4 linked regions of the Schizosaccharomyces pombe genome follow. The protein of the gene in region 1 binds, or shares a complex with, the protein of each later gene. Each region holds a gene or a part of one and is shown on either strand. Other genes may lie near its edges. The genes, in order: tim14, tim16, tim44 and pam17.

Region 1 (3,950 bases):
TGGAGGCTCTGTACCATATCTTTATAATCATACTCCTATTGTTTCTACAGAGGTTGACGGAGTTCGAATTCTTACAAAAGATTCAAGTGAATTTCTTCGCAAAGTTCCTGCACCATTGGAAAACATTTTTCATATAGGTTCCAAAACTCCTGGAGCAAAATTAGTCGAGGCTTTCCAGAAAATGAAACTAAAGTCCGTTTTTGCAGAAAAGATGTTATTAGAGTTAAAAGATGAATTACATGATGCAGTTGATACTTGTGTTCAAGCAAGTCTCAATGAATTTTCTATAGAATGGCAAAAGGTGTTACTTGAAGCAGCTTCTCTTGGAAAAAATAGTTTGCGAATGTACAATCATCAAGAATATGTGGATGTTTGTCGTGAGTTAAGAGTTTTGAATGCTGCTAGAGACCCCAATGTTGGGATTTACATTACTCATGAAGAATACTTGCATCTAGGTTTAGAAAGGCTAATCCAACGATTTTCGTGTAGACAATTATATGGCCTCGCTGTTCAGGCATCTATGTGGATGCAGATTCCGTGTGATTGGGTCTACATACAATGGGCTCAGACGTACATAAAGCAATCTAGTGAACCAGAGGAGGTTGTATTGGATAATATTGTTAAACGACTTTCGTCCAGAAAATACATATCATATGAGAAAATTGCTCGCACAGCTTATCAAGAAGGTCGACTAATTCTTTCAACAAAGCTCTTGGATTTCGAGCCTTTAGCTAAGCATCAAGTAATGCTATTGTTAAACATGGAAGCATATGAGCAAGCTTTAAAAAAGGTAATAGAAACTATGGACAATAACCTGATTATTTACGTTGTGCTTCAAATCAAACAACAAATGGCAATAGCGTCTTTCTTTCAAATTTTAAATGAGTATCCTGATGCAGTTAAGGTTTACGTTGAATTTGCCAAAAAGAATGATAGAAAAACTTTACACGACTTCTTTTACCAGGACGATAACAAACAAGGAATCGCTGTTTTAGCGGTAGAAGATACTTTAAAAACTGCGACAGTCAATCAGCGCATTACCTCTTTAAAATCAGCAGCTAAAGTTTGTTCAGAATCCAAGGAACTATCACTTGAAGAAAAATGTTTGGGAGATGAAATAAAATTATTACAATTACAACAAACTTACGAGGATCAATTCACTGGTAATTTTGTTGGGCTAACAGTAAATGAGGTTGTTGTTAAATTGATTCAAATTAATCAAACACAAAGAGCAAACAAATTGAGGTCTGACTTTCAGATTCCTGAGAAGAGATTTGCTTGGCTGAAATTAAGAGCTTTGGTAGCCATCCGTGATTGGGTTCAGATTGAACAATGGGCAGGCTCTATGCGAAGATCGCCAATTGGTTTTGAGCCTTTTGTTACAGAAATCCTTAGTGCCGGAAATAAAAAAGAGGCTGCTAAATACATACCACGATGTACTCAGCTTACTACACAAGAAAAAGTGGATATGTGGGTTCAAGTTGGGGACGTGAAAAGTGCTAGCGAAGAAGCAGCCAAATCAAAAAGCGGGAGTGTTCTTGGTGATCTTTTAGAAAGGGTGCAGACCATGCCCGAAAGTCGGTTTGTTCAGAATGCACTTGATCAATTACGCCGATGACTATTAGAGATATCAATACCAATCTTTTTTTTTTAGGATAAAAAAAAAGATATAAATATTAATGACAAGAATCCATGAATGAAAAGCAACCCAATTGAATTTAGAATAATTTGGATATTTACCGTAAAATAGTTAGTTTTTTTTGTGAGCTAGTTTATATTAATTTTAACAAATTATTTTACAAGAAATATAAAACCCTGAATTTTATGTAATGCAGATTTTTATTAGTAGGATTAAAAGTTGTTATTTATTGGCAACTTAAGCATATACAAGGAGAACCAGCTTTCTTCCTCCACTATCCTCAAGGTATTGGGAATTGAGGAGAATATATATATTTTTGGTTACTTCTTTCACATTAAATAAGTTTTGAGATATAACAAATGGTATGAGATTTTTTTTTTGCCTCACTAACTAACTTATTTTTGATTAGTCGTCTGCTATTCTCCTTGGAGTCGGTATCGCTGCAACGGCTGCGGCAGTATGTGAAAACAGAAAATAAAAGCTTGACATTTGAAATGCTAATGACTTTAGGGGAAAATTGGTGTTGACGCATTCAGAAAATACCGGAATTTGAATGGCGGAGTAAAGGCCTTTCTCAAGGGTGGTTTTGAGTCAAAAATGTCTAGGGCAGAAGCCATTCAAATTCTGTCATTGAACAACCGTACTTTAACTCGACAAAAAATAAAAGAGGCTCACAGAAGGTTGATGCTTGCAAATCATCCAGATCGGGGTGGTAGCCCTTATGTAGCCAGCAAGGTAAACGAGGCCAAGTCACTTTTGGATGCAGATCGATCAATCCGAAAATTTAGTTCATGGGCACTCCCTGTTTCTAAGCAGCGATCAATGCCTAGTGTTCTTGAAGCGGTGAAATGGCTTGAATACAGCTCCATACCGAAAGCTTAAAAGTGATGAATAATGGTCTGCATCGTTGTTAATATTATTATGTGCTGTATCTGCTGGAGAACTAATGTTTTCTTGCTAAAATTTAGCTGAAAGCTATGATGCCCTTAATAGAACTAATCATTGTGTGAATTATTGTTTGCTTTTCCAAAAAACTTTTACTATTCAGTTGCAGACACCTTTTGTCAATTTATTTTATTTTTTGCTTCTAAAGATGTGTGTTTGCTCCGTATAGTACATCGCCTTCGATTCTTTTCGTACTCTTATATCAATCCTTTTTCGGAAAATGCGAAGGAAACCCCGAAATTGTATTTTTTTTTCTTTCTCTACGCTGGAGCTATTTAGTAATTTGATTTCGAGCGTCAATGATTTTGTCTCCTTTTTGATGGTTGTACCGAGTGTTAATAGTTTAACTCTTTTTTAGATTAAATTTGAGTCTCTCATATGTTTCCGGACACTTACTTTCCAAAACGTTTTCAATGGAAAATTGTCAGGTTCTTTTCCATGCATTCCGAGTATCAATTCACAACAAGGATAAGTTAAAAGAAGAATTCGAGCATTTGATTTCCTTAGTCGTAAACAATATCATTCCTTACAAAATGTATACTCTTTGAAATGATTTTAGTTTTTGACTTTTGCGCTTTGAATGACATTGTTAAAACCTACTTCAGTAACAGTTTATATGAAGTATGTTTATTTAAAAATTTATTTCATAATCATAATTAAAAAAAATGAATTGATTAATAAACATCGAAATTTCGCTTCTAACAATGATTATTAACACAGAAGCTGCCTTTACATATCACTCTGACGTTACCGTATATAAGTGCGTACTGTCAAATTTTTTTTGACTTAAACAAATACGTTCTCTAAGATTTTGTTTCTTAGTAGAGTAGGAAGTTTAGTATATTCATTTTTTTTTAAAGTGCATAAGATAATAAGAAACGCGATGTCTTTTCATATTACGCCCATATGGATGTGGAAAGGAACGGGCAACAACTATGCCTATTTGCTGACTTGTGATAAAACCAAAATCACTGCCATCGTCGACCCTGCTGAGCCTGAGAGGTAAGTGAAGAGAATGAAATAACGACTTAAATACTGTTATCTGTGATTTCGGAAACATGATTTTCTCCTCCTGTTTTCCGAATTGTTTTGTTTGTGCGCTCCGTAACATTTAATTAACCAAACTAACATTGACAAACTCTAGTGTTATTCCTGTCATAAAAGAGAAAACGGCGAAGAAAGAAATTGATTTGCAGTACATTCTGACCACTCATCATCACTATGATCATGCAGGCGGCAACGAAGACATTTTGAGCTACTTTCCTTCTTTAAAGGTCTATGGCGGAAAAAATGCATCTGGTGTCACATACACTCCCAAAGATAAGGAGATTTTCAAGGTTGGAGAAGTTCAAGTTGAGGCTCTTCA
Region 2 (3,326 bases), on another chromosome or scaffold:
CACGCAAACTTTCCCTACTTACCTATACTTTACTGATTCTGCCCACACTACAACTCCCTGTTGATTTATTTTCATCTTGTATCAAATTTGAAGATGTCAGATCGTGAAGAAAAGCTAGCTGCAGCTAAACAAAGGGTATGCATAATATTTTGTAACATTTAACTTACGAGTGCTAGTTGCTGGAGGTCAAGAAGAAAAAACGCCAAGCTAAATCTAAAAATTCAGTTGCCGAAGATAATGTTGACCGCGAATCTAATGATGGCAATAATCAAGTAAATGAGCCTACAGGCAATGACAATACTCAAGTAGTTGAAAACACTGAGGATATTTCTGCTTCGAATGTAGTTTCAGCTGAAGGTGCTGAGGCATCCACCGGCGATGCTTCTACTCAGTCTCCGGAAACATCTGAAAATGTCGTTAAAAATTCTGTAGATGAGTCGGTTGCGGAGAAGCCTGAGAAGGAGGATTTAGCGGTAATAGAAAGTGAGGATAAAGCAGCCAAGCCTGATGGTGAAATAAAAAAGAACGTTGAAACAGAGGTCACTTCTCGAAGTACAAGCAGTCAAGAAAAAGATGAACTAGAAAAACAAGTAAAAACCCTGCATGATCTTAATGAACAAAAGGATAAGAAAATCAAAGAATTAAAAGAACGCATTAACGACTTAACTTATGATTATGAAACATTAAAAGCTAATGCGGATGACAGTGAAGGAAAGCAGACACTCGTATCCAAAAGAGAAGCCGCTCTTGAGGAATTCCAGTCAAAACTGTTAATCAGAGAGAATGAGATTAATAAAAGAGAACTGAAGATGAATGGAAAAGAAGATGATCTTAAAAAACGTGAAAAGGACCTTGAAAATCGTCTATTAAAGGTTGAAGAACATGAGAAAAGTTTAAATGAACGTGCCACGAAACTCAGTGAAGCTAACGAGAATTTCAATAATCGTTTCAAGGAGTTTGAGGAGCGTGAAAAATCCGCGATAAAGCAAAATAAAGAACAAAGCTCTGAAGGCTCTAAAACTGCTAACCAAACTCATGAACAAAAGGAGTTGATCAACTCATTGGAAAAAAAGGTTTCGGACATTGCTTTAGAAAAGCAACTTTTGGAAGAAGCTGTTGAACGTTATAAACTAGCGATGGTTGAGTTTGCGGAATGTCAAAGAAGGCTGAAGGAACTTGAAGCGATGCATTTTGAACAGCCTGGCTCCGTGACCGAGAAACTTTTTCCAGATCCTACTAACTTTGAGGTAATCGATAACGTTTCAATTGACTTGACATTGACTGGATTTCCCGGTGCTCACGGCATTCCTTTTTCAGTATGAAGTTAAAGCTTTAATATGATATTTATTATTAAGTCACTATGTTTAAGCTCCATTACCATACTGTTTCAGCGAGTATAAGAAGCCCTAATGAATAAGATGATTTGAATTTACAATCAGTTTACATGATCTTTGAATTGTGACGAGTAGTAAAACAAAGTAAAGAATATAAAGCAAATTCATAATATATTAATATTTTTTTGTCTAAAATAGTGAACTTTATGCTTCTTATTATTAAATCAAGGTTGTAATTTGGAAGTAGTATTAGATTCTTTGATATGAAATCTGCCTTATAAGGAATTTTTACCACCACCCTTTTTACAAGAAAATTTGTGAAAATTCCTGTTTAGGGCATGTGTATGTCTGAAAATAAAATAAAGGAAGACATTTATCATAATTATTTGTTCAAAATTACTATATTACATTAAAAAATGTCGCTTCCAAGGGCTGTCGGTCGATTTATAATTGTTGGTTCGCAAGGTATGTTTGTGGCCATTCTCCTATCAAGGATTTATTCAAAAGATTAAAAACCCTAACAATATTAGTAATGAGCAAAGCTTTTGTACAAGCTTATAAGCAAATGATTGCTAATGCAGCTCAACAAAGTACTGGTCAAGCTGCTGCTTCCAAATCATCAACTGCTGTTCGTCGAGGTGAAATGACTATTCAAGAAGCTGGTAGCATTTTAAACATTAAGCCAGAATCATTAGAAGAAGGAGAGTTAGAAAAACGATTTCAAAAAATGTTTGAGATTAATGATCCTAAAAAAGGAGGATCTTTTTACCTCCAGAGCAAAGTGTTCCGAGCTCATGAAAAATTGAAAAGTGAACTGGATCAAAAAATACAAGAACAATCCCCAGCGAAACCAACCAGTTCACCTTAAAACTTTCTTTGATTTTGGGTTGCTAGCTATTGCTACGTATTTACCGACACGTCTACCTTAATTTAATGTAAAATGGAATCTATCTTTTTTTTTTTTTTAAGAAAAAAAGAAGCAATGGGATATATTTTTGTTTACGAATAGTTGAAGAAATGTGAGGAGGTTGATATCCTCATATTTTTTTGAATATGCCCTGTACTATGATAAAAGGAAAATTAACACTAGTCTAGCTATCCACATACCCTCAATGCCGTTAAACCAGAGCCATATATTGTCAATGTGATGAGAGATGTACATTGATATGGATTGACTTCAAACGAGAGCCTGAGGTTAAGCCAAAACTTACTTTTCGACTTTTAACTGTCGCTGGCCAATCCTTAAAGTTAGACTGGGCTGCGGGCACCATGAAGAGATCAATAATCTAATCTATTCCCAGATATCAATCATTACACACTACTATTGAAATACATTTTGGTTACAAATAATGAATAAGACACAAAAAAAAGAACCGTTAAACTAATATATTTAAAGAATATAAGTTCCAGTTGAGCAAATGATAAAACATTCTTTTATGTAAAACAAGAAGACTATTGGGCTATAGCAAAAAGTATACGGTAAAATCATTCGCCCAATTATGGATAAAAAAAGATATCATGGTTAAGCACAGTCGATTTTGGGAAAGGAAAAAAAAATGAGTGCAAACAACCGTGATACTATTTTGAACTTTTTTCTTAGTAAAGAAAATCCGTTTTTTTGTTTACTAATACAAAAGCCATGATATCCTCACAACATTTGGTATTAAATGAAGCGAATAATAAATTCCTAGAACAGACAAGAGAAGAAGCAAAGAATACACATGTCTATTTCACTTTCCTTTATAAACATGATAAGTAGCGAAAAGAACAAATATTAGAGGATTGAAATAGAGGGATGCTTAGTATTTTAAGATGATATAGAGAGCGTGAATAATACCGGGAACGTAACCAAGACAACAAAGAAGAATGTTGATAATAACGTCAGCACCACAGCCACGTTCCAAGAAAACGCCCAAGGGAGGGAGAATAATGGCGAAAATTACCTGTGTCATATATTAGCATTGAGTCAAAAAGAAGCGAAATTTTTTTTTT
Region 3 (4,150 bases), on another chromosome or scaffold:
TCTTTTTTTTCTTCTTTTCTCCATTGCTGGCTCCTTCTTCAGCGGCATCATTTTCCTCTACTTTTCCATCATCTTCAACCACGTCGTTCTCTTTCAGCGAAAGCTTCTCCTGTAAATCTTTAGCGGTAGCTTCAGTAGTTGTCGCAGAAGTCATTGTTTAAGATTGTTAAATCCTGTCTAAACAAATCTGATATAGGAGGAAGTTGAGTATATGTACCTCCACAGGTTACAACAGTGCTACCACCAAAAACCAGTAGTCATGGCAACCTATGCCTCAATTTTAGGAGATTATAATATACAAACAAAAGGATTGAGATTTACTTAATTAAAGGTTTAAAAAGGGATAATGAGTCGGATATCAAGCAACAAGTATCCATTTTAATTTTAAAACCAACCGTTTATTAATTTATGAAAGGTCAAATTCTCTACATCTATTTGTTAATATAAATGTTCCAAATTTTTCCCAATTTAAAATATTTCTTGCACTATTTAATCCAAAACTATTGGAAATATTATAAAACATGTTAAAGTGATTATGATATTGAGCTAAAAAATGCACGCGTCCTAAAATACGATTGTTGAAAAAGTATTAAACACGCGTATCCTTTAAGAAAAAGATAGCAAAACCTCAATTCTTAAACCCATCCCGCAAAACCCGAGTTAAATAAAAGATTTTAAATTAATAAAATCTTCTACTACATTAAAGACTTTTCAAAGTAGACAAACGAAAAATGTGATAAAAAAAAGAATGACAAGCTTAGACTTGTCATCAAAAAGAAACAAAAAAAAAAAGAAGATCGATCATTAGGGAATATCAGCGGTCTTCTTAAGTAGATGATGGTGGACATAGTCCAGGAAATCCAAGAGTTATTTCCAAACTTGACAAAACTTTTGAAATATTAAATAGTAATTAATCATATGAGTGACAGAGAAATATAACCCAAACGAAATATGCTATGCAGGAAGAAAAAATCTGATTCCAAAAAAAATGTTTACATGTTAAAATTAGAAGCCGATAGAAAGACAAATGTTTGGAATATTTTCGCATTTAGAAATAATCAACGGCTCGTGCACGTGCGAAATCAACGATACGCCAACCTCTTGTCTCCGGATTATCAAGCTCGTCTTCTACACGTGTAAAGACAGAAGCATAAGTACATTGTTGAATACGATCATCCTTTCCTGCAACTAATTCGCCACTGCTAGCATCTTTAAACATATGGACCTCTTGAGTACGAAAAGTGACGATAAAAACGGGAATATCATTTGGCTGTAAAAGTCTTTGAGACATGATGTCGACGCCACGAATGTCAAGGATTTTACCAACACTAACAACTCCATGTTTCGCATATTCCTTGGTAGTAGTTTCATATACGGAAAAGGGGGCTTCCGAAAGCCAAGTCTTCAACACTTCTTTGTCTCCTTTAACATATGCCTCGGTAACTTCCGGGACAATATATTCTCTTAAATATTGAAGGAAATGCTCGGTATTAAAGGATGGGTCAATCTCTTTAAAGCGTCGCATAACCTGCGATGCTTCAGTTTCTGAAAACATTCGAGACCAAACGCCACTAATACTGTCGGCCATGTCACGAATGGAGGAGACAATAGGATGTTCAGACTCCTGATAACTTTTTTTAAGCTCTTGAATTTTACGAACTAAACGCGATTCGTTTTTTATTTGCTCAACCTTATTCTTCCACGACGGGTTGCTATGTACGACGACGCTTTGGACGTCTTCGTTAGGCTGAATCCTTGCCGAGCTAGCAAACATTCTGTTTCGACGTTCAAATTCTTCACGCAATTTTTTACGTTGTTCCTTGTCAGCATAAAATCCATAACGTGAAGAGGTGCTACCATCAGACATTGTTTGCTTAATTGTTTTATAAAATGCAGTTTCACGTACGGGTTTTGTGGCAGTGTCAACACCAGTAGCTACAGTATTAGCGGTGCTTGAAATGACCTTTTTTGATAATTGTACAGGAGCACTTTCCCAAGCTTTTTGGGCATATGAGCCAATCTTGGCACCAGCTTTGCCAACAGTTTTTCCTGTGAAAGATGAAGCTGCAGTAGTTCCCGAGCGCGCTTTTTCGTAAGCATCTCTCGCTTTTTTGAAAGTGTCGCTTTCACTTAATGATCCTGAACTATCTTGCAATGCTTTGACACTGTCCTGTAATTCCTGGCTCTTCTTTAATTCTGCTCTAAATGTATCCATGAACACCTTGATTGGCGATTGAGGTGCTGCATTTTGAGAGAATATAGACGTTTGGAAAAACCGCTGGCATTGAACTATTGTGCGGGCATTTTTTGTGATTTTTCTTGATAGAAACATTTTCTTTCCTATTGAATAAATAAATCTCAACGCTATTACGCGAAAATTAATCCACTTTGCTGCCTTTTATTGCAAACCGATATAGCAGCCTAGTGAGTGGTGGATGGAAGGTTCAAGTGCCACAAAGGTGGAAAGATACCTTAATCCTAAATATCGAGAAGTAGTCTTTTGTTAACAAAAGTTAGCATATTCTCTTATATTTGGACTTTTTTACTTTACTAAGAGGAGTTTACGATTAGAATTTTTACGAATTCGCTCATTTTATCTGAAATGCAACTATTAAAATATTGATATAGAGGGAAGCATAAATTACGCATGATCCTAATATATTAAAGAATAAGAGTACCGATCAATTTCCTTTCGTATTGGTTGAAACAGTCGTAGCTGTTGCTTACAATATTGTTGGGAATCGATACCATGTGGGTGGTAAGAGATCGTATGAAGTTATGAAAAAAAGTATTCAATAAGCAGCATAGATATATTACAATGCGTTATATAGAACTGGATAATTTGAGTATGTAGCGGGTTTTGGAGATAAAAGCAATAGTATTAATTAGCATTTTGAAGTTTCGTTTATTCATTTGTAGAGATTTTTCAAATCTAGAAAAATTTAAAGATCTCTTAATTTTGTATCTTTTTTTTTTTTTTTATCAGTTTGATAGAATGTTTGTATGTAATTCTTTCTAATAACATGCGACGTTTGTTGTGCCCCTAAGTTTCTTTGATGAAATTTATTTGAAAATAAGGAAGTAGCTGGTTTATACAGAATTCAAAAGGCGCATTTAAGTTGTAGTAAACCTCGAATTTTTCTGATGATTAATGTGTTTCATGATTTTTTATGAAAACAGTTGTTGAAGCTCCTATATTATTTATCACAGGTTGTAAATTTTCAGCTTCAATAACGAAATGGGATACTTAAAGTCATAACTGATCAATTTTGGCAGACAGATCTAGCTTTAAAAGCTTAGATTCATTCAACATCAAGTTTATACGAAATGATCAGTTGTAATACACTTCCAACTTTTCTGATAATGATTCAGAATGATTACAACATAGTATAGTTGGAATGTAAAATTATTTGTTTCATGAAGAACTGGTTTTCCATCTTGAACACTAGACGATAAAAGCAACCTGAATATCATAAATCATCTTCAATCCAATTAAGCAATTCAAAAACAAAACAAAACAATTTATTATGCATTTGTAAAAGTAAAAATTTAAAAGGTGATCATATTTCTTCAAATTATCGCTTTGTTTACTATTTTAAATTGTGCAGGTCACAATTGAATGTCACCTGTGAAATAATAAACCAGCCTTGGACTATAGACAACGATGTTGCCAAGAACCATGTTTTCATATGGAAAAGAAAACGCTTTTCCTGTAACTCCCATATCAAACAGAAATGGTACAAAAGGAGCGGGCTCCAAAAGAGCACCATTGGGGTCTACAAAGCAGTCGAATGCACCTTCTTCTGTAACGGTTCCTAGAACGGTACTGGGAGGTAAGAGTACTAACATTTCCAAATTTATTTCTGCTCCCAGTACAAAGAAAATGTCTCCTATGGATATTTCGATGGATTCCCCTACTATTTTGGAGCCAAACTCACAAGGAATTTCCCGATCAGCCGTACAAGAGCGGTCGAAGCGACTTTCGGCTAGCCCTCGTCGTTCCTCTTTAACAGACACTCCTTTACCAAATGAACTTGAAGAAGATATCGAATATATGCCTCCTCCTGTTCATTTGGACCCCATTCAATCCCTGGGGTTTGACGACGTTGCAATTGATTGTGAAACGCTCGATCCTTGGCCTAGCATGCAG
Region 4 (3,318 bases), 140 kb from region 1:
TTTATGCTATTAACAAAAGCACGCGTATCATCAAATATTAAACCGGAAGCCGTGTCCGAGTCCGTCATATCTGTGACTTCTTCGGCATTCTGCAATTGCTCAGCTACATCTTCTGGCTTAAGTATTTTCGCTCTTTTTTGAGCTAGCCTCCTCTGCATTGCAATTGACTGTTGCAAATCATCATCATCAGCAAACGACTGTGTTTCTAATTCGCGCATACGCTTTTGAATCTTCATTTTCTTTTGTTCTTTGAAAATAGCCGAATCTTGCTCAACTGACAGATCACTGTTACTCTGACCATTCGGTAGCACGAAATCAGATGGGTCATTTTCATTTTCATTTTCTGCATCAAGTTCTACTAGACGCTTTCTCCGATCAGACTTTGACTTTTTCTTTTTTGACTTCTTAATCTTTATTTGTCGATAATCTGATTGTTCGCTGCCAGTGATAGTTGGTTCAACGAAAGAGACAAGAGTCCCAAAAGTTTTTTTATTATCAGATTTATGTTTTTCTATAGTAGAATTAACAGTGAGACTATTTTGTGGACCAATGGTCGTAAAAGTATCTTCAGACGGTTGATCTGCTTCCGACTGTTGAAGAAAATCATTCTCATCTTCATACGGTTTGTAGGGGTTATCTTCCTTCCTTTCGTTTTTAGTCTTCCGCTGGACCATTTCAACATTTTCTAATAGATCATGATTATCTTCGTCTAATATATCAGCATCTTTCAATGTAAGGACTAGACCATCGTTCTTGTTTAAATCTTGAAAACCGTGTGCTATTTTCATTCCTTCTAATGAGCTATTCACATTGGGACCAGCATTTTGCGAATGTAGAGTGGATCTTCTGGGGGCGTCATTCTTCGCTTCAAAATTCAATCCATTGCCATTTTTATTCAATGAGGAATTACGCATTTTGAGTATCCACGCTCGAGTATCGTTAGCATCGATTTGATCATCCTCTTCTGCCAATGTTTCAGCGAGTGTTTTTCCTTGCGTTCTGCGTCTTCGTTCATTCTTTTGCCGTAATTTTTCAAATTTGCTTTTCAGTTCTTCTTCTTTCTTCCTATTTATTTCCTCCTGCTCTTGTTTCTTCCAATTTTCATAGGCCTGTTGTTCTTGATCGACATACGAAGACTTGACTGAAGCATCTGAAAGTTCTTTCTGAGGTTTTTCTTCTGAAATATCTAAGGGTTTGAGGCCTAGCGAAATTCTAATTCTATTGGTCTCCTCAATAGAAATCGATTCAGAGGCGCCTGAATTCCCAGACATTATACTAAATCCAACAGCAAGTGACAGACTTTCAAATGCTGATAAATAAATAATAATATGGATTTTTAATAAAAAAATACACTAAACTTGCAACTGACTCAAGGATATGAATAAAATAGGAGAATGGCGAAATACACGAACCGTAATATTGTTTCAAATAATTTACTTAAACTCTCATTTATATCTCACTAAGCTATTTTAGCGTACTTTCAAAAAAAGTTGCGTTTCCTAGTATGCGTCCGCGCTTGCTAAGGAATAATAAACAAAATACGTTAAAAAGAGAAGAGCAATTGAGGCGATACGTATATGAAGTATACATTTTCCAACAAGCAAGGATTCGTTATGATACCTATTATACGGCCTGGTCTAGTTGTAAAAAGATTACAAAGTCCCAAAATATTTTTAACTTTATGGAAAACTTGTTATAATGTAAAAACTTATTCCACTGAGTCTATAAAACAGAAGAAACCTCAAGATTTAAATTGGCCCACATTCCTGAAATTAAGAAAAAGCAGAAGGATTTTTGAAACCTTAACTTCTATTCCTACTGCACTTACCGGACTAGGATTAGGATCCGCCTATTTTCTTACGCGTACTGTTGACCCTACCATGACTATTATGGGTCTTGATCTATTTACTCTATATGTTATTGGAACTATTGCATCCGGAGGGCTTGGATGGCTTTTGGGCCCTAGTATAGGTAGAAAAATATGGACACTGCTTCATAAAAGTCAAGCGAGACAAATTGCAGCGGTACGTTCATTCCCTTAGATAATAGGGGTTATGTTAGCATCTACGGACTATGTTTTCTGAAAGTATTCTAATATATTTAATTTTTTAGAGAGAACAAGAATTTTACCGTCACTTGGTTAAAAACAGGGTTACACCTCAAATGGAAAGCTATTCTAATCCTATCCCAGGTATGCTGTGAAGGCTGCGTCATGATTGATGTCTAACTCTTAATTAGATTATTACGGTGAGAAAATTTACTCCCTTTCTGTATGTGATATGTGTTATCTACTCATTTACTTTGTACACTGATTACTAACTTTTATGCAAAGGACTATCGACGTTGGTTGAGGGATCAGAAGGCTTACATACAACGGGCATTTTGGCGTACAAGCAATCGTTAAATTAGAAGTGTTGAAGTGATAGCTTGTCATATAGAATTGTGGATGAGGTTCTTTTCTTAACACGATAACTAAAAGGATACAGAAGCATTGCCGTATCAGTATTTGTGAAAAGAAGTTCATCTATTGAAATCTGTATAGTCTCAACTTATAGTACAGACTTTTCTCAAGCAAGTGTTTTTGTCCATGTGTAGAGAAATTCTAGTAATGATTATCTTAATTATAATTTACCGTGCATACAATTTCTTACATAATTTGTTGTACATGTCACTCCTGCTATTGAATTTTATCTTTTGCAACAAGCTTTTGCCGTCTGTTCTATGATTGTTGTACAACTGACATGGTAAAACCATTAGAAGCAGATATTAGAAGATTATAAATATATAACATTTTTGTTTGTAATGCATGACATGCCAGTACACAATTTTAATAACAATTAAAAAATGCATTGGTTCAATTTATAAATTACAAGACTGAAACTGATCAAATAAAAAGAATATAGCTAAACCTTTGAAAACATAATTAATAGTTTACAGTATCAGTTTTAACTTGATTACTCCTCCAAAATTCAAGAACCTTTATGTGTAAACATTAATATAGTTTTGATGTAATAAATTAGCGAAGGAGATCAAATGTTGTTTCGCTGCGCGCTATTTGTAGGATTCGTAGGTTGAAAACGAGGCAACCTTGTATCTACCACCTAACGGAAGTAAACAAACTAGTGAGGGCAATTCATACATTTGAGTTAGTTAAAGCGAACTAACTTGAATTATTTATTATTTGTTAAAGGATGACTTCGGCTCTTTACTCTGGTGGTGGAAAATCTGCAGGATCATTGGAATCGGCACTTGATGAAGAACGTCTCGAAGTTTTACGATGGATGAAAGAAAGAGAAGAAAAAAAGCACCGTCAGCTAG

The links.
Region 2: tim14 (region 1) and tim16 share a complex: the UniProt entries of both Schizosaccharomyces pombe proteins name them as parts of the PAM complex.
Region 3: tim14 (region 1) and tim44 share a complex: the UniProt entries of both Schizosaccharomyces pombe proteins name them as parts of the PAM complex.
Region 4: tim14 (region 1) and pam17 share a complex: the UniProt entries of both Schizosaccharomyces pombe proteins name them as parts of the PAM complex.

Annotation. Positions count from the first base shown.
Region 1 is NC_003424.3:1,693,104-1,697,053, forward strand, and holds tim14 (TIM23 translocase complex subunit Tim14), read left to right. Parts: upstream 1-1,912; 5' UTR 1,913-1,998; coding exon 1,999-2,001; intron 2,002-2,028; exon of another isoform or gene 2,029-2,048; coding exon 2,049-2,096; exon of another isoform or gene 2,097-2,149; coding exon 2,150-2,521; 3' UTR 2,522-3,381; downstream 3,382-3,950. Other genes in the region: HOPS complex subunit Vps16, read left to right, coding at 1-1,618; hydroxyacylglutathione hydrolase Glo2, read left to right, coding at 3,468-3,586, 3,729-3,950. UniProt on the Schizosaccharomyces pombe protein: Essential component of the PAM complex, a complex required for the translocation of transit peptide-containing proteins from the inner membrane into the mitochondrial matrix in an ATP-dependent manner.
Region 2 is NC_003423.3:884,866-888,191, forward strand, and holds tim16 (TIM23 translocase complex subunit Tim16), read left to right. Parts: upstream 1-1,627; 5' UTR 1,628-1,750; coding exon 1,751-1,799; exon of another isoform or gene 1,800-1,864; coding exon 1,865-2,202; 3' UTR 2,203-2,782; downstream 2,783-3,326. Other genes in the region: SPOM_SPBC713.09 (uncharacterized protein), read left to right, coding at 94-135, 177-1,322; plasma membrane proteolipid Pmp3, read right to left, coding at 3,134-3,277. UniProt on the Schizosaccharomyces pombe protein: Essential component of the PAM complex, a complex required for the translocation of transit peptide-containing proteins from the inner membrane into the mitochondrial matrix in an ATP-dependent manner.
Region 3 is NC_003423.3:2,203,736-2,207,885, reverse strand, and holds tim44 (TIM23 translocase complex subunit Tim44), read right to left. Parts: upstream 2,424-4,150; 5' UTR 2,333-2,423; coding exon 1,049-2,332; 3' UTR 513-1,048; downstream 1-512. Other genes in the region: methionine aminopeptidase Fma2, read right to left, coding at 1-154; securin cut2, read left to right, coding at 3,680-4,150. UniProt on the Schizosaccharomyces pombe protein: Essential component of the PAM complex, a complex required for the translocation of transit peptide-containing proteins from the inner membrane into the mitochondrial matrix in an ATP-dependent manner.
Region 4 is NC_003424.3:1,553,087-1,556,404, reverse strand, and holds pam17 (putative TIM23 translocase complex-associated motor subunit Pam17), read left to right. Parts: upstream 1-1,584; 5' UTR 1,585-1,613; coding exon 1,614-2,024; intron 2,025-2,112; coding exon 2,113-2,191; intron 2,192-2,238; coding exon 2,239-2,270; intron 2,271-2,332; coding exon 2,333-2,404; 3' UTR 2,405-2,818; downstream 2,819-3,318. Other genes in the region: U4/U5/U6 small nuclear ribonucleoprotein complex subunit Snu66, read right to left, coding at 1-1,271; protein Dbs2, read left to right, coding at 3,192-3,318. UniProt on the Schizosaccharomyces pombe protein: Component of the PAM complex, a complex required for the translocation of transit peptide-containing proteins from the inner membrane into the mitochondrial matrix in an ATP-dependent manner.